Rattus norvegicus: one gene and its partners. The protein of the gene in region 3 purifies or fractionates together with the protein of the main gene of each other region. This does not show direct contact. Links are inferred from orthologs where the notes say so. Each region holds a gene or a part of one and is shown on either strand. Other genes may lie near its edges. The genes, in order: Strip1, Strn3 and Slmap.

Evidence for each region.
Region 1: the proteins of Slmap (region 3) and Strip1 purify together in Homo sapiens (affinity purification with mass spectrometry; 4 studies listed by BioGRID and IntAct, with this or other methods). This does not show direct contact. The link is inferred for Rattus norvegicus from reciprocal best matches to the Homo sapiens genes SLMAP and STRIP1.
Region 2: the proteins of Slmap (region 3) and Strn3 purify together in Homo sapiens (affinity purification with mass spectrometry; 5 studies listed by BioGRID and IntAct, with this or other methods). This does not show direct contact. The link is inferred for Rattus norvegicus from reciprocal best matches to the Homo sapiens genes SLMAP and STRN3.

Annotation. Positions count from the first base shown.
Region 1 is NC_086020.1:197,935,977-197,939,569, reverse strand, and holds the end of Strip1 (striatin-interacting protein 1), read left to right. Parts: intron 1-93; coding exon 94-198; intron 199-710; coding exon 711-915; intron 916-2,073; coding exon 2,074-2,321; 3' UTR 2,322-3,001; downstream 3,002-3,593. UniProt on the Homo sapiens protein: Plays a role in the regulation of cell morphology and cytoskeletal organization. Required in the cortical actin filament dynamics and cell shape. Part of the striatin-interacting phosphatase and kinase (STRIPAK) complexes.
Region 2 is NC_086024.1:74,824,474-74,828,119, reverse strand, and holds part of Strn3 (striatin-3), read left to right. Parts: intron 1-1,409; coding exon 1,410-1,536; intron 1,537-3,063; coding exon 3,064-3,205; intron 3,206-3,646. UniProt on the Homo sapiens protein: Calmodulin-binding scaffolding protein which is the center of the striatin-interacting phosphatase and kinase (STRIPAK) complexes.
Region 3 is NC_086034.1:1,789,053-1,793,382, reverse strand, and holds the start of Slmap (sarcolemmal membrane-associated protein), read left to right. Parts: upstream 1-1,480; 5' UTR 1,481-1,564; intron 1,565-1,781; 5' UTR 1,782-2,866; coding exon 2,867-3,064; intron 3,065-4,330. UniProt on the Homo sapiens protein: Associates with the striatin-interacting phosphatase and kinase (STRIPAK) core complex, forming the extended (SIKE1:SLMAP)STRIPAK complex.

The DNA of each region.
Region 1 (3,593 bases), on a different chromosome or scaffold from region 3:
TGAAGTCAGTCAGGCCTTTGGACATTGCACTGAGCAGCCAGTGAACAGCCTGCAGCCGTGACAGCTGTGTTTGTGTCTGGCCTTTCCCTGTAGGAAGCTGGTGACAACAACCAGTTTTGCTGGAGGAATCTCTTTTCTTGCATCAATCTGCTTCGGATCTTGAACAAGCTAACGAAGTGGAAACACTCAAGGACTATGGTGAGTGGTGAGCAACCAGCCTGGGATGTGCTGTGTCCCCTCCACCTGGGACAGGTTCTCAGGTGCGGCTTGCCTGGCAGCATTGTCCTCATTCAGGTCTGCAGACTTCTGGTTTTTTGATGAGTACAAGCAGAAGCTGGAAGAGACTCTCAGTCATGACCTCAAACAAACCTCCTGGATGGAGACACTTTGTCCTCCTCATCCTGGGTGGGAAATGATAGCCAGGAGTCAGGAACCACCTTAACCCTGGGTTGCCCATGGAACAAGGAAGGTCCATGAGTTCTCAGAAACCAGATTACAGAGTGGCCCGTAACTAGGGTGACCAACCTTTGTGGTTCGCCTATAGCTCTGCTAGTTGTAGTGCTTAAAGCTCCAGATGCCAGCAGACTAGTGAGTTCAAGAGAAACTGCATGGCTTGTCATCCCGTTTGCTACCCCAGAAGTGCTAAGGGACCGTGCAGTGGCACTCACACTTACTGCTTTCTCACCATGGCTGCCACCATGGCCGCCCAGATGCTGGTGGTGTTCAAGTCGGCGCCCATCCTGAAGCGGGCCCTGAAGGTGAAACAGGCCATGATGCAGCTCTATGTGCTGAAGCTGCTCAAGGTGCAGACCAAGTATTTGGGACGACAGTGGCGCAAGAGCAACATGAAGACGATGTCTGCCATCTACCAGAAGGTGCGGCACCGGCTGAACGACGACTGGGCTTACGGCAATGGTGAGGCCACCTGCGGCGCGGGCGGGAGAGGGTAGGGCAGGGGACGCCTTGGACTCCTTGCCTGTGGTACCTTCATTTTCTCTGCCCTTAGGCATTGAGCAGGGCCTGTATCTAGTTTTTGTGGCTCTGGGCAAGACTTTGGGAAGCTGCTGAGAATCTGCATTCATCTGTTTCTCTGTCCCTCCACTCTAAATTCCATCTTTTCTAGAATTTGCCGTAAGATTCTGCCCACTCCTCATCTCTGCTGCAGCCTCCTGGCCTACTACCTCCTGGCCTACTACCTCCTGGCTGCCTGAGTGCAGTAGATCCTCACTGGCTCTGCTCTAGCTTCTCCTCCCACTGTCGGCCTCAGATTTGGCTCCTGTAATCTTTTCAACATACGCATCCTGTACTGTTGCCTCCTGAGTAAAATTCCTGATTAGCTTTCTAATTCCCTTAGGAATGAAATCAAACGTTAAGACAGGGACGGGTGCTCACTCACTCACTCGCCTGGTCCCATAGTCTGTGGCTTTCTTTTCTGTCACACCCAAGTCTCTGTCACACCCAAGACTCCAGACAGAGTATGACCCTCAGTACCTGCTGAGCATTGCTCCCAGGAGCGCTGCAGATCCCAGCAGCCACAGATAGCCACGCTCTCCAGTGTCCTGCTGAGCCTGCAGACAGACTGCACAGGGGCAGGGGAAACCATCCTTAGTCCCTGAGCGTTAGCAGTGTTCTTCCTGCTTCTGGGCCTCTGTAGACTGCTGGCTGTCTACAGCGTCTTCTCCCAGTCTGCTGTTGTCTGTGTGGGTGTTGCTGTGTTACATCTCTCTGTAACTCTATACCTGGCATCTGGGCTCAAGGTGGTGCATGACGTTTGTCATGGAGGTGAGAGAATGAGCAGATGAGGGACTGTAGGGTTATGTGTCTGTCCTCTGGAGCCAAGGGGAGGCTGTGCTTAATAAAGAGTTTGGTTCCCCCTCCTGGAGGGGCAGGAGGCTTTCCCATCTATCTGCAAGTTTCTTTTTCAGCGTTAAGGATTGTCTCCTTAGATTTGACCGTACTTCTGGGAAAGAATTTCTATTCAGCTTTCTGAGGGTTTGGGAGTGATCCTTTTGGTTAAAATCATGAGGAGCTATATAGGGCTGAATCCTAACTGGGTTTTCCTGCTTTTCCCAGATCTCGATGCCCGGCCATGGGACTTCCAAGCAGAGGAGTGTGCTCTCCGTGCCAACATTGAACGCTTCAATGCCCGGCGCTATGACCGGACCCACAGCAACCCTGACTTCTTGCCAGTGGACAATTGCCTGCAGAGCGTCTTGGGCCAACGGGTAGATCTTCCTGAGGACTTCCAGATGAACTATGACCTATGGCTAGAAAGGGAGGTCTTCTCTAAGCCCATTTCCTGGGAAGAGCTGCTGCAGTGAGGAGGGATGAAAAAGACTGTGATCTGTCTCATACCCGAGGGACTGTCCTTGCCATTGCTGCAGTGCTCCTGTTGCCCTCCAGGTGGCAGCACAACTCCATTGAGTCCTCCAGAACCAGTCCTGGGCCCGTGAGTGAACCCAGGTTAGCCTCTGGTTGATTCCCAGCATCCTACTCAGGAGCAGTCATCTCCAAGCTGGGATCTACTCTTCCTCCACTTCCCCAGTTTCTACCCTCCTCCCTTGGATTGACTGCGTGAAACTCATTTCACAAGTAGCCCCAGGCTGGGAAAAGCTGAGAAGGGCCTTGTGTCCCTTCTCATCGGCAGCTGTGTCTTGAGGCCATGCTGACTCCTGAGCTGCTTTGGCACGTCAGTTGGTCAAGAAGGAGGGGTGGCATGAGGGCCAGGAACAGAGTCAGCGCCTTGGTTGTGCTCTGGGGGTATCTCGTGTCATTCCGGTATCCTGCTGAGTTTTGTCCAGAAGTGATAGATACCACAGCCTCTGCACCCTGGTTTTGGATGTGGTCAAAAGTGGAGTGAGGCTTCCTGAAGCCAGAGGTGCTGGTTTCTTCTTGATTGTCATGGCCTGTAAATATACAAAACTCTGTGTGGTCTCATGTCATGGTGGGGTTTTTAATGTGTTTGTGTATTCTGTTTACATTAAAAGAAAGCAAAACTGTCCCTGTCGCCTTGTCTGTAGATGCAGGTTCTGGGGACTGGGGATGTAGCACAGGTGATCGAGTGCTTACTTAGCAGGTAAGAAGCCCTGGGTTCCATCCGCACACAGCACCACATAGGACAGGCATAGCAGTGCACACACTTGTAATCTCAGCACTTGAGAGGGGGAAGCAGGCGAATCAGAAGTTCTAGGTCAGCTTTGGCTAAATAGTTCAAGTTCAGTCTAGGCTGTGTAAGGTTCTCTCATAGAAATGTCTGAAAATTGTCAGTTTTCAAAAGTATCTCTTCCTCCGCCCAGCTAAGTGCTTGCCTGTCTTCCTGCCTTTCCTACTAGTGTACAGGGAAGGAGGACGTGGTACTTTGGTCATCTACCCACGTCAGTCTGGATTACTTTAAGGTTCTGGGTTTGCTGGGGATCAGTGTTCCTGACTCCTGGGCTTGCTATAGTTTCAGTAGAAACTTCAGATTTCTCAGGATGACATTCCTTAGCTGCCCTCACACAAGCCAGTTAGTGCTAGGTTTAAGTGAAGTCACTTGGTTCGGTCTTCACTGGGACAGAGGTGTTTGGGACAAGGAGGAGAGTTAGTTGTGTGTA
Region 2 (3,646 bases), on a different chromosome or scaffold from region 3:
AGGCTTAGTGTGTGTGTTATGGAAAACTGAACAAGGAAGCAGGGGTTCATGTTGTGCAACTGAATCAGGATTAGCTAGTTTTGGTAAGGGACAGTCTCCACAGGGGAGCAGTCTTCAAGACGTTTCTGGGTTTGGGAGTTAGACAGAATTTCTACACAAACTGTCAGCATTCGCAGTTGGATCCGAGGAAGGTATTGCACGACCATGAGCCTCATCCAGTAAAGGGTTTACAGCCCTCATGGGGCTGAGGTTTGGTCTTTTGACATCACTCATGTCTTAATTTTTTTGCTTTTTCGTTTATATTTGAGACATGGTTCTTTCTCTAGGTGGCTCTGGCTGGCCTGTAACTCACAGATCTTCCTGCCTCTGCCACCCAACCACTGGGATCAAAGACATGCATGACCACACCAAGCCTGACCAGTTCTGTCAACAATGCACATCTACTCAGAACTTCCTCTGCTCCCCACAGATTGGTATATCTTGTGTAATATATGTTTAATAATTTTAAATATGGGCAGGTTTAATAAATTTAGCTTTTGTTTTACTATTTAGTCTTCAAATATTTAGGCTAAAGTATAAGTGGTTGTAGTTATAAAAAAATTGCTAAATTGCTTTTTCTGGTATTTTTCAGAAATTATAGCATGCTTGATCATTTAATCTTAGTAGATTGCTTTTCTTTTTAAAGACTTATTTTTAATTTTGCCGGTTGTGTATGTGGAGGGGTGTGGGTGTTATGCACATATAAATGTAAATGCATGCAGAGGCCCAAAGAGGGCATTATATCCACTAGAGCTAAAGCTTTACACTATTGTGAGCTCCTGATGTGGGTGTTGGGACCCAAACTCAGGTCCCCTGAAAGATCTCTTACCTGTAGTCTTATCTGCTGAGCCATTTCCAGTCCCTAGATTTCATTTTCTAGTAGCATTTACCTAAAATGTTTTAGACAAAAAGCTTTGGATAAAACTCATTAAATTCAGAACATTCCTTATTTTAATTGCAGAGCACAAATAATCTTTAAAGATACTCTAGAATAAAAATTTTAGGTAATACATTATAATGATTGGGATGTCTTGGACCAGGAGCCTCCTGGAAGGAGGATCAGGAGTTAAAAATTATTTTCATCTACATAATGAATTGAGACTAATCTGAACTATGTAAGATCTTATCTCACAACAACAAAAAATTAGGTTGTGTTTGAAATACAAATGTTAGCTTAAGGTAGTTTTAAACTAGAAATTAGAAGGGTCAGGATGTGGCTTATTGATTTAACACTTGTCTAGCATGTTTGACATCCTGGGTTCAATTCATAGTATCCCTAGATAATGAGAAGGATCCAGGAATTAGGAAGCAGGAAGAAATATCAGAGTCAATCTTTGAAATAGTTGGGACCATTTTTCCCTTTTCTACAGGCCCTCTGGTGATGTTCTTGAGACATTCAATTTCTTAGAAAATGCCGATGACAGTGACGAAGAAGAAAATGACATGATTGAGGGCATCCCGGAAGGAAAAGACAAACTTCGGATCCATAAGCACAAAGTAGGAGACTTAGGTTATTCCTGTATACAGTCATTGTTTTGGTCGTCCCTCGAAAGGTTTATGATAATTGACAGCTCTTACTCAGTTCACGTTCATGTTGCGGGGATTATGCTTCCATGTATGATCTAAGAGGAGTCTGTTTCTAAAGCATTTGTCCAGTGCTTTGCACCTTTTTTTTTTTTTTAATAAAGTAACACTCCTCAATCTTATCCCAGTGTGGAGTCACACTGAAGTTTATATTTTCATGTCCAGTATCACATGGGAGATGAATGAACAGAAACCGTAGTGTAAAGGCTCCCACCTTGGGAGAGAGACTGATGTATGGATAGTTAATATGTGCCAGCATTCTGGTTATTTGGTGAGGATTAATAAAAGGTGACTTTTCTTCAAACACTAAGAAACAGACTTGATGTATTTTAGTAGTAGATGGGGAGTTAATTCTACTGGACCACAAGTAGACTATGTCCCATTGGTAAGCATCAAAGTAGTAATGTTCAATATTTAAGTGTATTTAAAAAAAATAGAGAGGGCTGAGGCTGTGTGTCAGAGTATTTGATTAGTATGCACCAATTCCTGCATTCAGCCTCAGCACCATAGTGGATGTGGTAGTTCAACCCTTGAGATGTGAGGGCAGGAAGATAGAGAGTTCAAGGATGTCGTCACCTATATAGTGAGTTTGAAATCATTTGGCTTCTAGATACCCTTGATACCCTGTCTATCAAAAAAGGAAAAAAAAATGTGAGTAAATTCAATTGTACTACTTGGAGATTTTGTAGTAATACAGAAAAAAAGGCAAGTGTTTGTCAAAAGCTTTCAATCTACAAAAGCAGTTTCAACCTTTCTCTAGCTTTTCACATGTATGATATACTCTATTGGGTAGAGATTTACTTCTTAAAACTTGCTATGTGCTGTGTAATATGTATGGAGGAGTGTGTATGTGCTGCAGCACATATGTGAAGTGCAACTTTGTGCAGTTTTCTCCTCCCACCTTTATTTGGTTTATAAAGATAAAATTCAGGCCATCAGGCAGCTGCTTTTCCTGCGGAGCCATTTCAGAAACCCAAGATGTTGATTTTTCTTACTATTTTGTTCTGGGAGGTAGGTTGCTTTTATTATTTGTTGCACAACTAAGTTTATTCTTAATAACTAAGTGGTTATTCTCTGCTTCCGTGAATCAGAGCTAGTACAGATTTCTCAGTGTCATCAGCAATTTAAGATAGCTTAGATGATTCTTTAGTAGAGATCATCTGTGAACCTACTCTAATTAAAGAAACTCTTGAGTAGAACTCTGGCCTTTCCCAGCACCCTCCTCGCTTGCTTCGTTTGTTACAAGTGATCTTCATACAGCAGTGTTGAATTGTTTATCTAGGGCATAGTTTGAGACTTATCAATCCTAGGGGAAAGGAGAGTTGTGGATCTGAATAACTTTAAAGTAGATGTGTAAGTACTGTTGGGTGGAAATACTAAATGAACTCTTTAAAATATAGACTAAAAAGTATTAATTATTGGCTTATCTTCTCTTTACAGATAGGTAATGAAGGTTTAGCTGCTGACTTAACTGATGATCCTGATACTGAGGAAGCACTGAAAGAATTCGACTTTTTAGTGACTGCAGAAGATGGTGAAGGGGCTGGTGAAGCACGGAGTTCAGGGGATGGTACAGAATGGGGTAAGGGGACAAAGAATCCCAGGGTGGGGGAAGTCTGCCTGTTATAGGTGGCTTTTTACTATGTACTGTGTGAGCTCTGTGTGTCTGAGTGTATGGTAGCAGGTAAATTAAGATCAAGGATACGTGGTATTAATAATCAGAGCTATTTGGTTCTAGTTTATTAGATTTTGTGACTGAGATTTTCATTATGTGGCTTTTGATTTCTGAAGTTGATCTTGAAGTGTTCTGTTGATTTACAAATTTATCTTTTCCCTCCAACAGATCTTTTTAAAACAAGAATCATTCATTTTTATTCATGCCCATCATTTAATTTTAGGTAATCAAGGCAGTCGAGAATTTACTTCCTGTATGTCCATATGCTGTTACCTGTTTTAAGTGCTGGGTATGAATAAAATGGCTTAATTGAAGTTAATTCTCTAATTAATGAAGTTAATTCTGACT
Region 3 (4,330 bases):
ATCCTCTAATAAGTGTGTTATTTTCATTCATGTATTAAATATTTACTTAGCCACTGTGCCAGGCACACGAATGTATTGCTTTATACAGCCTCATTTTGCTACTTATCCCTCTTCCTGGCAATTTAATAAACCATTCAGCAAATTTGGTATTTATTATAGTCCTCCAACCATCCTTCATTCAGCTTTTGTTGCCTCTCCTAGGAGGATGTCCCTGTCTCCCTTTAGAAGAGTTCCGAATATATCAGAGTTGTTACCTTATTTTGTTCCTTCAGTCTCAAACCCACTACACTGGTTATGTAACCAGAGGGCAGAGACTAAGGCTGTGCTCATCCTTGTCTCCTGGACACAGCATAGTGTCACAGAAGCAGTGAAATGAATGCTCTGTTAAACAATGTGGTCTGACACCACCGAAAGCCTCTTTACAAAGGGGTTGTATATTGTTGTTTAGTTATAGAAGAGAAAAAGGGTCCTAAAGAAGTTTAAAGACATGTCCAACGTTTCATAGAGAAGTCTGTGGTCATAGGAATCTCAAGAATGAAGGCGACACTGATTTGACAAGATTAAGATTCTCTGCAGTCTTTCCCTAAGGATTTCATTCAGCTCTGGCCACCGTTTTTTCCTTCTTCGGAACAATGACTCCTTACATACTGGTCTTTCTCCTCTCGGTTCCCAGGCTTAACACATACTTCAAGATTCTTAGTTGGGTAATTCCCCGTATTTTCCTATTAGAAACTTTTGACCTTGACCCCTCTTTGGAAATGTGTTTTAAAACTTTCAAGTAGGTTGTGGTAGTACATGCCTTTAATCCCAGCATTCTGGAGGCAGTAGCAGGTAGATTTCTGAGTTCTAGGCCAGCTACTTAAAGAGCTCCTGGACAGCAGGAGAAACCCTGTCTCTAACTCCACAGTCACCCCCCCCCCCCCTAACATTCTGTTCTCACTAATCCAGGTAAGAATCCACGAAGGAGTTCTGAGAAACATCCTTGCATCAGAGAAAAGGACAGGAATTTGGGATGGAATTCATAAAGCACGGAGAATTTAGCAGAGGGAGGTCATCAAATCAGGCGTCATCAAATCTAGGGACTTGTGGAATTTGGTCATAGGAAGTGCAGGGGTGAGTGACTCAGTTGCCCACAGCTACGGGGGCTGCTAATGAGTCTTTGACTGGAACTAGCCTCTTTACGTGTTAGTATTTTCAGTGAGAGCTACAGAAAATACATTTAGTACACGTTGGTACTTTCTTACTCATAAGTTGCCACTGTATGTTTTCCAAACATTCAACCTCTCAAAGTTTCTCTTGCCCTTAACGAAAATGGTCATTAAGGTTGTTCGGAGCTTTGAAGCTTCTGGCCCTTAACAAAGATGGCGCCGGGGGTCATGTTAAAAATAAGCTTGCCCTCTTCTCTGCCAGTGACAAACATGGCTTCCACGGCGTCGGTCACATGACATCCCAGACTACGGCACGGGAGACGGCGGAGGAGGGCCCTTGAAAAGGGTGCGCGTTCCCGTAGCGGTGGACCCGGTAGGTTTCAGTCAGAGTCACTATGGCGGCCAACGCTGGCAAGGTAAGCTGAGGCGGCGGCGGAGGTGGCGGTGGCGGCGAGGGAGGCAGGACCCGACGTTCCGTCCTGGCTCCGGAATCCCGTAGCCTGACCCAGGAGAGGTCGCCCGAGGTCGGAGCAAGCAGCCGGGGACTGGCGGGGGCTGGCTGAAGGGGGCGAGGGCTGAGGCGAGCGGGCGCCGGTTCCTGACTGCCGTTTGTTTTGGTGTTTCCCCCACTAGGTCGGAAAGTTTCCTGCCTCGTCCGCCACCGCCTGAGCTTGCCGCACTGGCTGCGAGTGGAGGAGGCTGCGGCGGACCCAGCCCCGGCCTCCAGGCCTCTCCCTCCACCTCCCGGCCAGCCTCCCTCCCCCACACCGTCGTCCTCCGGGAGCTGCCAGTCCCTGAGATGCGACCCTCGCGAGGACGCTCCTGAGGGGAGGTGGCCCATGTGCTGAGCAGCAGAGCCCAGAGCTCAAGGAACCAACTTCCCGCCGGCCCGGGCGCCCAAGCCTCCCTGGGGTAGCTCCTCGCTCTGTCCGCACCGGCCTGCAGAGCCGGGTCCCCGCCCTGGTCCGGGGACACCCGCCAGGTGCTCGGGACTCGCGATCCAGGGACCGCCCGTATCCCGGCCGCCCTCCCACGCCTCCAGCCCGGGATCGCAGCCTCGGCTCACGCTGGGCCGGGGACCCCTGCCACTCCCGGGCGGCCTCGGCGCAGCAGGGCAATGCAGCCCGGCCCGGTGGCCCTCTAGCCCTCCTCGTCGTCTGTCCCCGCACCTCTTCTCATCCCCGAGGCCCCTGAGGACCGGCGGTGGCTGCCCGGAGGTCCTTCACTCCTCTTCCTCGGGCCCCGGAGGACCTTCCTGGCTGAGCCGAGTCAACCCTCTTCATGCTGCAGTGCCGCACCGTTTCCGCTACCGAAGGGGAGAAGTGGCCGGGATCTCAAACAAAACACAAGAATTTGTGTGTGACTCATCTGCTCGGATACCTCCCGTCCCCAAACTGTCTTCCAGGAGTTTCCTTGGCCGAAGCTGCCCAATGTTTGAGCTTTTTCTTCCTAGGGAAGATGGACTGAAAGCTGCTAGTTGGGGACTTTTTTTGGTCAAGGAGCCTCTGTATTTTAAAGGAGGTGATGGGGCTTGCTCTGGCTTGTCTTCCTGCCCAATTGAAGAGTTGTTGATGTTCACTGGTTATGCTTAGACAATGCACAGTTTGTTTTAATTTAAAAATTTTGGGGGGATAGGGGTGTAGGCTTGTGAAGAGCATTCCGAACCTGGAGGAGCTCCTCGTTATCCCTGGTCCAGACACCCCCCCAGCCTGTCCTCGATGCCGTCAGCCTTGGCCATCTTCACTTGCCGCCCGAACTCACACCCGTTTCAGGAGCGACATGTCTACCTGGACGAGCCCATCAAGATCGGCCGCTCAGTGGCACGCTGTCGACCAGCGCAGAATAATGCCACCTTTGACTGCAAAGTGCTGTCAAGGAACCATGCTCTCGTCTGGTTTGATCACAAGACGAGCAAGGTAATGTCAGTACAGTGTTTGACAGTCTTTACTTTTCTTTCCTTTTGCCCTCTCTGAGAGGTTTAATGTAAACTCGATCTTAGGGTTTGTTCCCAGAGGACACTTTTCTGCGAAGTCTTGGAATCAGCTTTTTGTGTATCCGAATTCTAGTAGAAATTGAATCGAAGTGGTTGAATGAAAAACAGAGAAGGTATTGTTACTAAATGTTTCAGTAGGGCGATGGCTTCTTGATAACTTGGTCATTCCCAGTGAAATCCCAAACCTTAATTCGTTTAGGAAAGGTAGATAGTGAAACGTGACCTCTTACTTTCAGCCCTTTTAGAAAGGGGAGCCTGCAGTTCAGTGCTTGATTAAGCAAGCACCAGTTCCCAAAGCAATGCAGGAATCTGTGGCCTCTGTTACAGTGAGGCTCAAGTGTCTGTGCTGAAATGTAGTTAACACATAGCTTGTAGTTGAATTCAATTCAGGGTCTGTCTGGTAGGATAACTGGAGTGTAAACTTAATGTTTTTGTAAGGGTTGACACTTACTTGCCTCGATGAAATGATTTGTAATATTAAAGGCAATTTAGTTAAGCTAGAGTAATTTTAACTACATCTTCGGAATTCTGTTTACAAGTTGGATGAACAGAAATCTATGCTCATAAGAGTCACTTTTTAATTTCTTTGGTAAATAATGCGTAGTTATCTGATGATATGCAGAAATTAGTATTGATTAGTTTATTCTTAGATTATATCCAATATTGTCAGTTATCATTTTTTTTTTTTTTTAAAGACAGGGACTAGCTGGCCTGGAGCTTATTCTATTGATCAGGCTGACCTCAAACTCAGAGGTTTACCTGCCTCTGCCTCTCAGGTGCTAGAATTAAAGGTCACCATGCTTGGCCTTACTTTTAATCCAATTTAGCTTGTTTATCTTGGCACTGTACTTTGCTAGTTACTTATATATATATATTTTTAAAAAGGATCCTTTTAGTTTTTCAAGAATGTGTATATATGGAGAATATTTTAAAGAACTGATCTTTGAGCCTAAACCTAAGGTTTTGGTTGAACTACTGAATTAATTCCAACTCAAACTAAGTTACATAAGACTAATAGGACCGTCTCCAGTTTTGTCTTCTGACTTTTTGCCCCCTCTTTCTGACTGACATGATTAATTTTTTTTTTTTAAGAGAAGAATTTGTGCTCAAGAGTGGTGTTTTGAAATGAAAGAAACTTGAGCCTCTAGAGGAAGAAAGTAATACTAGTACAGCTACTGAATTAAGGAAT